3 linked regions of the Saccharomyces cerevisiae S288C genome follow. The protein of the gene in region 2 interacts with the protein of the main gene of each other region in a biochemical or structural test. Each region holds a gene or a part of one and is shown on either strand. Other genes may lie near its edges.

Region 1 (4,616 bases), on a different chromosome or scaffold from region 2:
AAGGTGAGAAGAAATAGTGTAAGACAGCAACACACATCTAGACCGCCAATGAAGTTGTTCTGAATCCAGCAGTAGAGTTTATTTAGTTCAAAGTTTTACTAACGATAATTAACTTTTATGTTTTCATTTTAAACAGAGGGTACTCCTTCATTCGGTAAGCGTCACAACAAATCTCACACCTTGTGTAACAGATGTGGTCGTCGTTCTTTCCATGTTCAAAAGAAGACCTGTTCCTCTTGTGGTTACCCATCCGCTAAGACTAGATCTCACAACTGGGCTGCCAAGGCAAAGAGAAGACACACTACTGGTACCGGTAGAATGAGATATTTGAAGCATGTCTCCAGAAGATTTAAGAACGGTTTCCAAACCGGTTCTGCTAAGGCTACTTCTGCTTAAATTTGATATTATCTATAAGTTTTGTTCTTTCCTAAAACGAAAATAATATAAATTATATATAGTTAATATTAAGCATTACAAGGTTTCTATAAAGCGTTGACATTTTCCCCTTTTGATTGTTGCCTTACAGTCCCATTGAGATATATAATGAATCGGCCTCCTCTAGTGTGGTTAGATCGAATGATTTTGACTCAAGAATAGTTCTTGCCATTTCTTGAAATTTCTCATCGTACTTTACTTGCATTATTCTCCCCGTTCTTTTATTCAATTGCATCTTCAATTCTTCTTCGATATATTCTGGTAAATCCTCAAAGGCATCTTCGTAATAAGAGGCTTGATCCTTTATCGTCAGATCATGCAAACTATCTACAAGGTGTCGATGATCTCTCATTTCTCTTTCGTTTGCTGTCACAGTTTCGGTTTGGCATACGAGAAACCTCCATAGTGACATAATCAATTGGCTTTCTACCTGCTTGATTTGTTCTTCACGCAATTGTTTGAAATGGTCTTTCCATAGCCTATATATTATGGTTAAAGTATGTTCAATAAGATGGCATCTGAGGTCCAAGTTCGGGGAGTCTTGTCCCACGTACCTTTCTATCATTAACGCTTGCTCCCTGGATAAGAATTTAGAGGAGTGGATGAGCATTTCTCCATTTACTATGGTCGCATCGTCTCCATAGATCATTAATAAATTTTCAAAAATATTTAAAACTTCATCTTTTAACTTCAAAAGCCATTTTTCCATCTTGTAACCTATTATAGGGGCAGTGAATTTGTCGCTATCCATCCCAATATCCTCTTTAGAAATTACCCTTGGGACACTTTGCAATCGGTCAGTATAAATCAGCTTTGATATCAATCCTCCCAATTCATTATCACCTATATTTCGGATTAACCCAAAAAAGTCATGGTACTTCGACATATGAAGAGTTGTAGTATCCACATTTTCATTATATACGTCGCCACTCTTAATTTCCTTTTCCAAAAGAGCGTATAATCTTGTAATACAATCTCTCCACCAACTACCGCTTATCAAGGATTTCAGATCTGAGGAATTGTCCATATTTAATATTATACTAGTGATAATATTAACGACCTCGACTGCACTAAATATTACATTTACCATTGGCTTGTATGAAATGGTTAGTGCTAGTTTGTAGACAAATTCAAATGATTTTAGAATATTTTCATCAAAAAATTCCATATAAGTTTGCTTAGGATGCGACTGCAGTACCCTTAATATACCTTCTAGGAGATCAAAGGAATACGAAATTATCAAATAGTCTATCAGTTCATATTGGAAAATCTGAGGTTCTACATGCAAATTCATATTTGATTCATGTATCGGTACTTTCAATACATGATGATAGATTCTTATTAAATCGCAAATAAAAAGAAAACAATCCTTCAGTGCTAAATTATGAGTGGCACTAGGACGAAATTGTACAATCTGATACATCAATGCAACGAGAAATGGGACAGCTAATTTCGATTCATTTGGATGAACTGATATTTCCTTGATCAAAACAGCTATATCCTCTAGCAAAGTATCTATGAACCTGTCGAGGGTCAACGTCTTTTTACATCGCAAAAGTAGAGAAACTATGGACTTCCCTATGGGGGCTCCTTTAGCAATGACGAAATTCTTAAATTTAAACTCTGTGATGTAGTCAAGCTTCAATCTATTTAATATTTCTATTGTGCTCAGGTCAGCGCCTATTATTTGATGAAGTAATATTGACTCTAGAAATAAACTCGTTTCATCGGGAATAATCCTATTTGGGTTTAGGGGAACCATATTTTTTTTCAGTAAATTATCACTTATCTTACGTTTTTTTGATTGTGGTGATTGAGGTTTTGCTTCGATTGCAACTGAGGACGAATCTGGCGTTATAGTGTTTGTGTTTGTTGATAATGTTGTTGACGGTGGTTTTACATTCGTAATAACTTCCCTTTTCGATTTTCCTCTCGCTTCCATCTGTAAGAACTTCTTCTCATCTTCCAGTTTCTGTAATTCTTGTTTTAATTTAGCCAACTCTTGAAGATGCTTGACTTGCAATTCATTAACTTTGACGGCTTGAATATTCTTTTCCTTTTCCCTTTCAATGTTCAAAAAGTTTATTTTATCACGAAGCATGCTTGCTTCACCTTGAGCTTTATTCAGTTGGTTAACCAGTTGGTTATCATTTTTACTCTGTTTATTGTTTAATGTGGTCGTTGTAACCTCCAAAGTAGTGGGAATTTGTGTTTGTAATGCTGCTGATGATGGCGGTATTTGAGTAAACCTTGGAGGCCTGGTGCCTAATTCCAAAAGAATATCATCATCGTCATCTGAAGAAAATTCACCCACCGTTTCTCGTCTCATCTATAATAGAAATATGCAAAAGAGTTTGATGATTGTGTTGACGTTTCGTGCACTATCGCGTATTTGTTTGCTTTTTATTTTATTGCATGTGCTGTTTTCCCCAAAAAATCGATGGAACGCTCGGATTTGGCTAGAGGCGGGAAAAATCACCAATAATCGAAGAAAATAGAAGAACCAAGATACTAATAGCTCTTTGTAAGATAAATTTTGGAGTTACTACAGGTTACTATCCTTATTCAGAGACTTTTTACTGCTTTGCTCCTAATATTTAGTAGGAAAGAGCGAGCCTGTCTGACTCTTTTTTTTTTAAAAAAATTCAAGGTAAAACCTAACTAAACATAAAATTTCCACTCGAGTTATTCCGCTTAAAAGTGCTTAACATCGGTGCCACACAATACGAACCTTAGTAGAGAACCGACCGTTACCTCTTTATTAGCCCTAGTTTGTACCACTTAAGCTCTAATTCCAATCTAATGTGTGTGTATTTTTTTCTATTGTTAGCGCCGCACCAAAGAGGATCATGGTAAATACAATTACATAAAGAAAAGAAAAGCAACAAAACAGCTTCGTTTGCACCTTTAGCAAACGTTGGAATTTTCCTAATCTCAAAACAAGTGGTAAATCTAATCCCACACTAAAGAAAGCACGTCTTTACCAGTGACTTTATCAATAAATCACCTGCACACGCTGTCCGGGTAAATAGAATTGTTACTAAATAATGAAAAATACATTCGCAGTTGTAAAAATGCCAACAGAAATACCTGATATACAGTTAACAAGTAAGATCGGATCACGCTGCCAAGGCGCATAACAAACTATAAAGCCATTAAAGATTATGGTCGTGACATTTTTGCAGGACCTGGAAGTTTTGCAAGATGCATTATTAAATAATTTGCAAAAATTAAGTGCAATCTCCCGCAGAAAAGAAAGCGGAGAAAGCAAGCATGATAATAAGGACAGTTTTGCAGCCATTGCCAACGAACACAATGATGAAGAAGAAGAGATTGAATTTGAGGATTTGGTGAATATTATAGAGAGCAAAGTTTCAGATTTCGAATCGGTACTGAAATGTAGTATTGTGGAAATGACCTACAAATACCCCGAATTAAAATTACAGTGGGAAAAAAGCCCTAGATACGATCAATGCGATAAGTTGCATATTGTGAAGCTTGATAAACAAATGAACGAGGACATATATGCTCAGTTGGTCGAAGAACTGGATTTCGTGTTGCAATTCGTCGATTGGTTCTATTGCTACCGCCTGAAAGTCAAAGAGATTCTACGACAACACCACAAACGTGACTTAGCTTGGAACGACGAGAAAAGAGACCGCGCTATAAAATTTCACGCTGTGGATTACGACAAGCTTCACCAAGGAACGTCGTCATCGTCAAGCTTAACGTCCACATCGATGGAAAAAGCCAGCACTAGAGAGAAGCTTTTGAGCAAAACAAAACAACTGACGAATAACTTGGTGAGAGGAAATCAAATTTTGCAGTCCGGAATTTTACAAAGTGACCTGAATTTGGATGAATTGAGAGCCCAAACCAATTCCTTAACACAAATCGATGACAAGTACACTCAATTCGAAACCGTCTTCAAGAAAACTGCCGATTTGGTCAAAGTACTGGAAAATGCCTCCCATCAAGAGAAACGAGATGTCTATTTATCACTTGGGTTCCTCCTATGCTGCGTCTCGTGGGTTCTATGGCGTCGTATTTTCAAGTTACCTGTTAAACTCGGCCTCTGGCTGCTATTCAAGTTTTTCAAGGGTATACTCGTCACCCTAGGTCTAGTTAAAAGCTATGCAGGCTCCTCGTCCTCTCTTCAAGCACCCAGTCTTGTGCTAAAT
Region 2 (5,716 bases):
AATGGGATGTTAAAGATCCCACAGTATCGTCTCACATTTCGAATATAAACGTAAATCTGGAACCTGCTCCAGGAATTTTAGAAAGAGAACCTATTGCGACACCTAGAATGGACTACGGTGTTAACAATTTTATGTGGTCTCCGAGAATGAATCAAGACTCTACGATGGAGCCCCCGGAAGAACCAATAGATAATAATGACGATAGCGCAAATGATCTAATTGATAGATAAATTATATAAGGGCATATTTAAGAGGCTTTATAGATGTAAAAATGAACAATAAGAATAATTTAAATTTGTTTTATTGAGAGGTGATTTTCTAGAGCATGTCAAACTTTACTATTCAGGGAAAAAAGAAAAGAAAAAAATGCGCAAGCCCGGAATCGAACCGGGGGCCCAACGATGGCAACGTTGGATTTTACCACTAAACCACTTGCGCTTACTGATTATATCTTAATGGTTGAAGAGATCTGAATAAGTTTTATCTTCCTCTGGGCAAAGAATACTATACATTGCAAGAGTACCCATTAGAAGGGAATTAATTTATGCACTCTAAATCTTTTTTGATTATTCCGGATATTATTTTTGTTGATAATTAGAGGTAAAAAATAGTATTAATGAAGAAATAAGTATTGATCTTCTTATACTAAATAAGAGAGGTATATAAAACACACGCCGATTGGTCATATTAATCATGACCAATATAATAGTGATTCCGGTAGTTACTATACATTGATGTGACGACTCATATTCCTCATATATGTACCTACCATATCATGTTCAACTAATAGATTTTAAGCACAGCTTCAGTATTGTCTCAGCTTCTCGTTTAACATTCCTTCTGCAATAGGTGCAATCACACTTAAACGTATACGAGGTGTACATTAATATACGATGTAAGCATTATATTGTTACCATAGCAACTCATGTCACTATTAATTACTCTCGTTCCAACAATTTTGTATTTGAAGCTTTAACGGGTGTTAAATGCACAGCCGATACGGCTCATCCGAAAAGTAACGCCAATTATATTAACAGCTTTTCCATTTATTTAGAATGGCGATACAACGGAAACATACGAATATGATAGTACTCAATTGTTGTGTTGGAATAAAAATCCACTATCGTCTATCAACTAATAGTTATATTATCAATATATTATCATATACGGTGTTAAGATGATGACATAAGTTATGAGAAGCTGTCATCGATGTTAGAGGAAGCTGAAGTGCAAGGATTGATAATATAATAGGATAATGAAACATATAAAACGGAATGAGGAATAATCGTAATATTAGTATGTAGAAATATAGATTCCATTTTGAGGATTCCTATATCCTCGAGGAGAACTTCTAGTATATTCTGTATACCTAATATTATAGCCTTTATCAACAATGGAATCCCAACAATTATCTCATCATTTACCCATTTCTCATGTTGTGTACACATTATATACCTCCCAGTTACTGTCAATCCTCTCCTCTTATATCGTTTCAATACAAATAATATATTATGAAGGGCAATATTACATCATTACCCGGAGATATATACTATTTGGAATGATCTTTCTTTATAAGAAAAAAAAAGAATTTCGCAGATTTCCCTGGCTTTCCTTATTCTTCCTACGTTAGCATTATTATGAATTATCGCTAATAGCAAAGGCAAAAAAGATTATCAACTGCAGGATATTCGGTCACAACTTTGACATAGATCTTGAGAACCTCAACACTATTCATTTCTCTGGCCTGATTATTTTAAGTAAAGTCAATCATTGTTAAGTTTTCTTTTGTTCTTTTCTATCATTCTCGCTCTTTCAATTACTTACACCTACAATAATAGACGTTGACCTGTGAAAGGCAAGAAACTTAACTAATAGTATAATTAAGAAGAAGTTAACATTTTACTCTACATTATTGAAACCGCTCACTGACTTCAAAAATAGGATAAAAACATAATATGGAAGGAATTTTGGATTTTTCTAACGACTTAGATATCGCTCTATTAGATCAGGTGGTATCTACATTCTATCAAGGTTCAGGTGTTCAGCAAAAGCAAGCCCAAGAGATTTTGACTAAATTTCAAGATAATCCAGACGCTTGGCAAAAAGCTGACCAAATTCTTCAATTCTCAACTAACCCTCAATCAAAATTTATTGCCCTTTCCATCCTTGATAAATTAATTACTAGAAAATGGAAATTGTTGCCGAATGATCATAGAATTGGAATTAGGAACTTCGTTGTTGGTATGATTATCTCCATGTGCCAAGACGATGAAGTATTTAAAACACAAAAGAACCTGATCAATAAGTCGGACTTGACTTTGGTCCAAATTTTAAAGCAGGAATGGCCTCAGAATTGGCCTGAATTTATCCCAGAACTAATCGGCAGTTCAAGTTCCTCTGTTAATGTTTGTGAAAATAACATGATCGTTTTGAAACTGCTATCCGAAGAAGTCTTCGATTTCTCTGCGGAACAAATGACACAAGCTAAAGCTTTACATTTGAAAAATTCCATGTCAAAAGAATTTGAACAGATTTTTAAATTATGTTTTCAAGTTTTGGAACAAGGTTCTTCAAGCTCTCTAATAGTGGCAACCTTAGAATCTTTACTGAGATATTTACATTGGATTCCTTATCGTTATATTTATGAAACCAATATTTTGGAATTATTAAGCACCAAATTCATGACATCGCCTGATACAAGAGCCATCACATTGAAATGTTTGACTGAGGTTTCAAATCTAAAAATTCCACAAGATAATGATTTGATAAAAAGACAAACTGTACTTTTTTTCCAAAATACTCTACAACAAATTGCCACAAGTGTGATGCCCGTGACTGCCGATCTGAAAGCCACTTATGCAAATGCTAACGGTAATGATCAATCTTTCTTACAAGATTTAGCAATGTTTCTAACTACATATCTCGCTCGTAATAGGGCCCTTCTAGAGAGTGATGAATCGTTAAGAGAGTTGTTGTTGAATGCGCACCAATACTTAATTCAATTATCCAAAATCGAAGAAAGAGAACTATTTAAGACGACATTGGATTACTGGCATAATTTAGTAGCAGATTTGTTTTATGAGGTTCAGCGTTTGCCTGCTACCGAAATGAGCCCATTGATACAGTTATCAGTCGGTTCACAAGCTATCTCAACTGGATCTGGCGCCCTAAATCCGGAATATATGAAAAGATTTCCATTAAAAAAACATATTTACGAAGAAATTTGTTCACAGTTGAGATTGGTCATTATTGAAAATATGGTTAGACCAGAAGAAGTCCTTGTGGTTGAAAATGATGAAGGAGAAATTGTTAGAGAGTTCGTTAAAGAATCAGACACTATCCAATTATACAAATCAGAAAGAGAGGTTCTTGTATATTTGACCCATTTGAATGTTATCGATACAGAAGAAATCATGATCAGTAAATTGGCAAGGCAAATCGATGGTTCCGAATGGTCATGGCATAATATCAACACTTTATCTTGGGCTATTGGTTCCATATCTGGTACAATGAGCGAAGATACTGAAAAAAGGTTTGTAGTTACTGTTATTAAAGATTTACTAGATTTAACGGTCAAGAAAAGGGGTAAAGATAATAAAGCTGTTGTTGCATCGGATATTATGTACGTCGTGGGCCAATATCCTAGATTTTTGAAGGCTCACTGGAATTTTCTAAGAACAGTTATTTTGAAACTTTTTGAATTTATGCATGAAACTCATGAGGGTGTTCAGGATATGGCATGTGACACATTCATTAAGATTGTTCAAAAATGTAAATATCATTTTGTTATTCAACAACCCCGTGAGTCTGAGCCTTTCATCCAAACAATAATTAGGGATATTCAAAAGACAACTGCTGACCTACAGCCGCAACAGGTCCATACATTTTACAAGGCTTGTGGTATTATTATTTCTGAAGAAAGAAGCGTAGCGGAGAGAAATAGATTATTAAGTGATTTGATGCAACTGCCAAATATGGCTTGGGACACTATAGTGGAACAATCCACTGCTAACCCAACATTGTTGTTAGATTCTGAAACTGTCAAAATTATTGCGAATATTATAAAAACCAATGTAGCTGTCTGCACCTCAATGGGAGCAGATTTCTATCCACAGTTGGGTCACATCTATTACAATATGCTTCAGCTATACAGAGCTGTTTCTTCGATGATTTCTGCTCAAGTTGCCGCAGAAGGTCTAATTGCTACGAAGACACCAAAGGTTCGTGGTTTGAGAACCATCAAAAAAGAGATTCTGAAGCTTGTTGAGACCTATATATCCAAGGCGAGAAATTTGGATGATGTCGTTAAAGTGTTAGTTGAGCCATTATTGAACGCTGTACTTGAAGACTATATGAACAACGTTCCTGATGCAAGGGACGCCGAAGTGCTAAATTGTATGACAACAGTAGTAGAAAAGGTTGGTCATATGATCCCACAAGGTGTTATTTTAATTTTACAGAGTGTATTTGAATGCACTTTGGACATGATTAACAAAGACTTCACAGAATATCCAGAGCATCGTGTAGAATTTTACAAGTTATTGAAGGTCATCAATGAGAAATCATTTGCTGCATTTTTGGAACTACCTCCGGCTGCCTTTAAATTGTTTGTTGACGCTATTTGTTGGGCGTTCAAACATAACAATAGAGATGTCGAAGTTAATGGTCTACAGATTGCATTAGACCTAGTGAAAAACATTGAAAGAATGGGAAATGTCCCATTTGCAAATGAGTTCCACAAGAATTATTTTTTCATTTTTGTCAGTGAAACGTTTTTTGTTTTAACCGATTCCGACCACAAATCCGGTTTTTCTAAGCAAGCTTTGTTACTAATGAAGTTGATTTCTTTGGTTTATGATAACAAGATTTCGGTACCATTATATCAAGAAGCTGAGGTACCACAAGGAACTTCAAATCAAGTCTACTTAAGCCAATATTTGGCTAATATGTTAAGTAATGCATTCCCCCATTTAACATCCGAACAAATCGCAAGTTTTCTCTCTGCATTAACTAAACAATACAAAGACTTAGTGGTCTTCAAAGGCACTTTGAGGGACTTTTTGGTGCAAATCAAAGAAGTCGGAGGTGATCCAACAGATTATTTGTTTGCTGAAGATAAAGAGAATGCATTAATGGAACAGAATAGACTAGAGAGGGAAAAAGCTGCCAAGATTGGTGGGTTATTAAAACCTTCCGAACTTGATGATTAGAGGCGGTGGCGTATCATTCTTTAAATTTCCAATATTTTTTCCCTTTTATTAACTAGTCTCTAATTTATAACCACGGGGTTTTCATTTCTTTTTCACTTCATATTGTATGTAAATTGGTTCTTCAAAGTTCCAATACTCTAATATAGTACTAAATACTATTTAGCCAACTTCATGGAAAAGTAAAGAATATTATTTGAAGATTCTTAAGTGATTACCCATTTTATTGTTATTATTGATGTATGTACATGATTGTAGTAAAATACTTATACGCCTTATGCTCAAGTTTTTTTGATTGCATCTTGAATTTTAACGAAACTGTTTTTGGGCCCAGCCACAGAGCCTTTAACCCAAATAACATTATTTTCATCGTCGACTTTCAAAACTTTAACATTTTGGATAGTAACATGCTCGTTTCCCATATGACCAGGCATCTTTCTTCCTGGCAGTACCCTACCTGGGTCTTGGTTTTGACCATAAGAACCACCGTGTCTATGCATAATAGATGT
Region 3 (3,121 bases), on a different chromosome or scaffold from region 2:
TAGATTCGGACAATACAAAACCTCAGGCAGGGCTTATAAATTTCTCTACTCCAGCTGACCAGCCAGCTTCTGATAATAATGTTACAGCTTCGAAAAAGCTTACTAGCATGCTGGAAACTCAGCAAAGTAAGAGATCTCATGAAGAAGTTTTGGATGAAGAGGAAGAGGAGGAAGCCCTCAAAAAGCAAAAGGCAATACCGTCTTCACCATGTGGGATGTTCAATTATCATCAACCCATGGAATTATCTGAGGACATAGTTGAAGAAGAGCAAGGACACAATATCGGCGATGATAATGAAAGCGATAAGACCAACGATTTATTCTCAACATTCATCCATTCAGGAATAAGAGTAAGTCAGGTAGTAACAAGTCCCATCGGTGAATTTCAGTCAATAAAACACTGAAAATATTACATGAACTTATTCCTAGCACAGCATGTATATATATATATATATATATATACTCAGATCATACATGTAGCACCTTATAGAGAACAAAAAGAAGTATTTAATTAGCATTTTCATGTCGTTAACATGTTATCGCGTTCTGCAGCCTTACGTATAAGGTCGCTGGCATTCAAAAACGAGCACATATACTCATTAAACTTCTCCCTATCATTAGCGGAAATTGTCTCCTTGAATATAGGATCCATTTCTACCTCCACTTCATGGGACGTGTATTGATGGGAGTTCCTTCGCGTGGTAGTAACCTTTGTCAAATCCAAGTGTAAAGGCATTTTATCATTAAAGGTGTAGGTGGAACGGCTTTTGGTTCTTTGTAAAATAAAGCCATTCCTGAAAGCGGCAGAAGTTTCGTATTCAGGCACTTCAAGGCTGATGCTAATTTTAGCGTCTAATGAACTTTGAGGATAGCGAATGAGAAAATCCTTGACCCGGACCTTTTTGATGTAAGTAAGTTTAAGTTCTTTGTTTCTAAGGTCTTCCGAACAACGCCATGAAGTTAATTTGCCAACTTTCGAGGCATTGTTGCAGTTATATATAGAATCTTTCGTATACTTTTGTACCTGTTTTACTACTCTTGGGGCACATTTACTTGGATTCTCCGATTTTGAGCGGAGTAGCTCCTGGAAACTCGAGAACATTTGCTCAGGAACGTTAGACACTAAGCGGCCATTTCTGTTTTGAACAATAAAGGGCTTGTTGTGTGGTGTCATCCTGCGATGTGTCCTTTTGTCTGTTATAACACCAAATTTCATTTCGATTTCAATGTGTGATATCGACGATTTATCAATACAAGCAAGATATTTCCATGCTAACTTACAAACATGTTTATGGAATTCTGTCGCACCTCTTGAATTGTTTCTTGTGGTTTTGTATAAAGCTCTAGTTGATGTTAATGGCTTAGTGGTTTCAGAGATATGCAAGCTTCTGAATTTCGAGGCAACATTAGCGTCAGCTTTCTTTGCGCCAACATTTTCATGAGAATTTCTACTATTGGAAGGAGTCTCGGGTTGGTCAGACATATCTTAAACTTCCTATAGTGTTTTCATTTTTCCTTTTCAGTGCTTTTTTTTTCTTTCCCATTTTGCTGGTAGTCAACAAAGTTGTCTTAAGGAAAAAAAAATAAAGAAAATATTGAAAACTAATAAGTTTTTTTCCTGTAAAAGTGTATAAAATATATAGGAGATCCCGTCAAATAATAGAAAAAAAATTTTTTGCCACATATACCTGTAGCCCCAGGAATACTGAAAAAATGGAGTAAAATGAAATGAACAATTCGTCGTGAAGAATACAAAGAAATATTAAAGAAATTTCGACGTAATACATAGTTCAACCGATTAATAAGAAATACCCAGAATAATAAGAGAAAGAAAATGAAAAAAGGAAAAGAAGCCCCATGTCTGTAGTGAACGTGTTCTCGTTAGTTATTCAGAAGAAGCTGGACTGAAACTCTTCGAAGTGTAGGGATTGAACTTAACTATCTTTTCCTCTTTAGGAGTGGAGGAATACGTTTGGGAGATTTGTAACTGGGTCAATAGTGCTTGTTCCATGTAATACTTGTCAATTTCCTGGTATACCACTTGTTCTTCTGGGGTGAGCAAACTTCTTGGACAATAAAAGATGTCGTCTTCGAAAGTTTTACTGATGTTGTTTTTGTACATTATGGTGTTCATGCCGTCTTGTTGGGTAGTGAATTCATCACTAGAACTCACCCTACTGTTGTTGGCAGTGTTATAGCTGAAAATGCCCGAGTTATTTTTACTATTGGGTACCGAGGGAGAAGAATAGAATGACTGAGGGCTGGTGAGGTTGAATTCATGTTGTTGGATGCTTTCCGTAAGGTAGAGGCTTGTGTTCATTTTTGCTTCCGCCTGCAAAAGTGGAGTCATTTTTTTTTTGTTCTGAAATCAGGAGAATTAGAGTAGGGGGAAGGTGAGTAAATATAAGGGGTCGAGGAACAAAATCCTTATAAACAATCCGTAGAGTAAAACGCTGCTTGTTATCTTACAGCAATGTAATAACAAGCAAGAAAGATAAAGCAATACGAACCAGTTGCTACTTGGTGGCACAGACGTGCGAATTAATTAAGGTTGTGTGGACAGGAAAATAGCGTTTCCCTCGAAGGGTATTGTTCTTGTTCTTTTTATATTTTCGGCATTTTTATGCTCGGCATTTCCCAACAGAAGCGGATATATTTTAAGGGCGCGGAGATGAGCCAAACGGCAAGCGATATCAAAATATCTGCATAATAACGGCAATCAACGCGCACGCGAATGGCCAAGAGGGTACAATAGCAGCAATGATGCGGCTTGTGAAATGGAGGAGTGGGTGCGGTAGAGCTTATTTTTTTGCGTTTGGTGAAGCGTCCTTGGCCTGGTCAAAACTTTGCACCTTAGACGGCGATGCTGGAGTGTCACTGCTATCTGGAGGGAGCTCTACAATGTTGTGGTTTTGTATGGGAGTGTGGTTCAGGAAGAGTGGTTGCATATAGCTGTATATTGGTAGTGGAGGAGGCTGATGCGGCAATGGTATGGGAGCAGATGGCATAGGATGAGGGAAGTATGGTGGTGCGTAAAGAGATATAGTGTCTTGTGGGCTAGCAGGAGTTGATATGGGCAGATTGTATGGAACAGGCGCGGGCTGGACAACAATTCCATATG

What was found. The genes of interacting proteins can lie anywhere in the genome.
Region 1: the proteins of CRM1 (region 2) and LCD1 form a complex in vitro, tested with the Saccharomyces cerevisiae proteins (one study listed by BioGRID).
Region 3: the proteins of CRM1 (region 2) and CTL1 form a complex in vitro, tested with the Saccharomyces cerevisiae proteins (one study listed by BioGRID).

The regions. Positions count from the first base shown.
Region 1 is NC_001136.10:1,445,978-1,450,593, reverse strand, and holds LCD1 (Lcd1p), read right to left. Parts: upstream 2,765-4,616; coding exon 521-2,764; downstream 1-520. Other genes in the region: 60S ribosomal protein eL37 RPL37B, read left to right, coding at 137-396; SEC20 (Sec20p), read left to right, coding at 3,600-4,616. UniProt on the Saccharomyces cerevisiae protein: Forms a complex with the serine/threonine kinase MEC1 which activates checkpoint signaling upon genotoxic stresses.
Region 2 is NC_001139.9:930,586-936,301, forward strand, and holds CRM1 (exportin CRM1), read left to right. Parts: upstream 1-1,955; coding exon 1,956-5,210; downstream 5,211-5,716. Other genes in the region: calcium channel protein CCH1, read left to right, coding at 1-230; mitochondrial 54S ribosomal protein uL3m MRPL9, read right to left, coding at 5,489-5,716. UniProt on the Saccharomyces cerevisiae protein: Receptor for the leucine-rich nuclear export signal (NES).
Region 3 is NC_001145.3:621,731-624,851, forward strand, and holds CTL1 (polynucleotide 5'-phosphatase), read right to left. Parts: upstream 1,484-3,121; coding exon 521-1,483; downstream 1-520. Other genes in the region: SPT21 (Spt21p), read left to right, coding at 1-404; YMR181C (uncharacterized protein), read right to left, coding at 1,886-2,350; RGM1 (Rgm1p), read right to left, coding at 2,802-3,121. UniProt on the Saccharomyces cerevisiae protein: Probably involved in an RNA processing event other than mRNA capping. Releases gamma-phosphate from the 5'-end of RNA to produce a diphosphate terminus.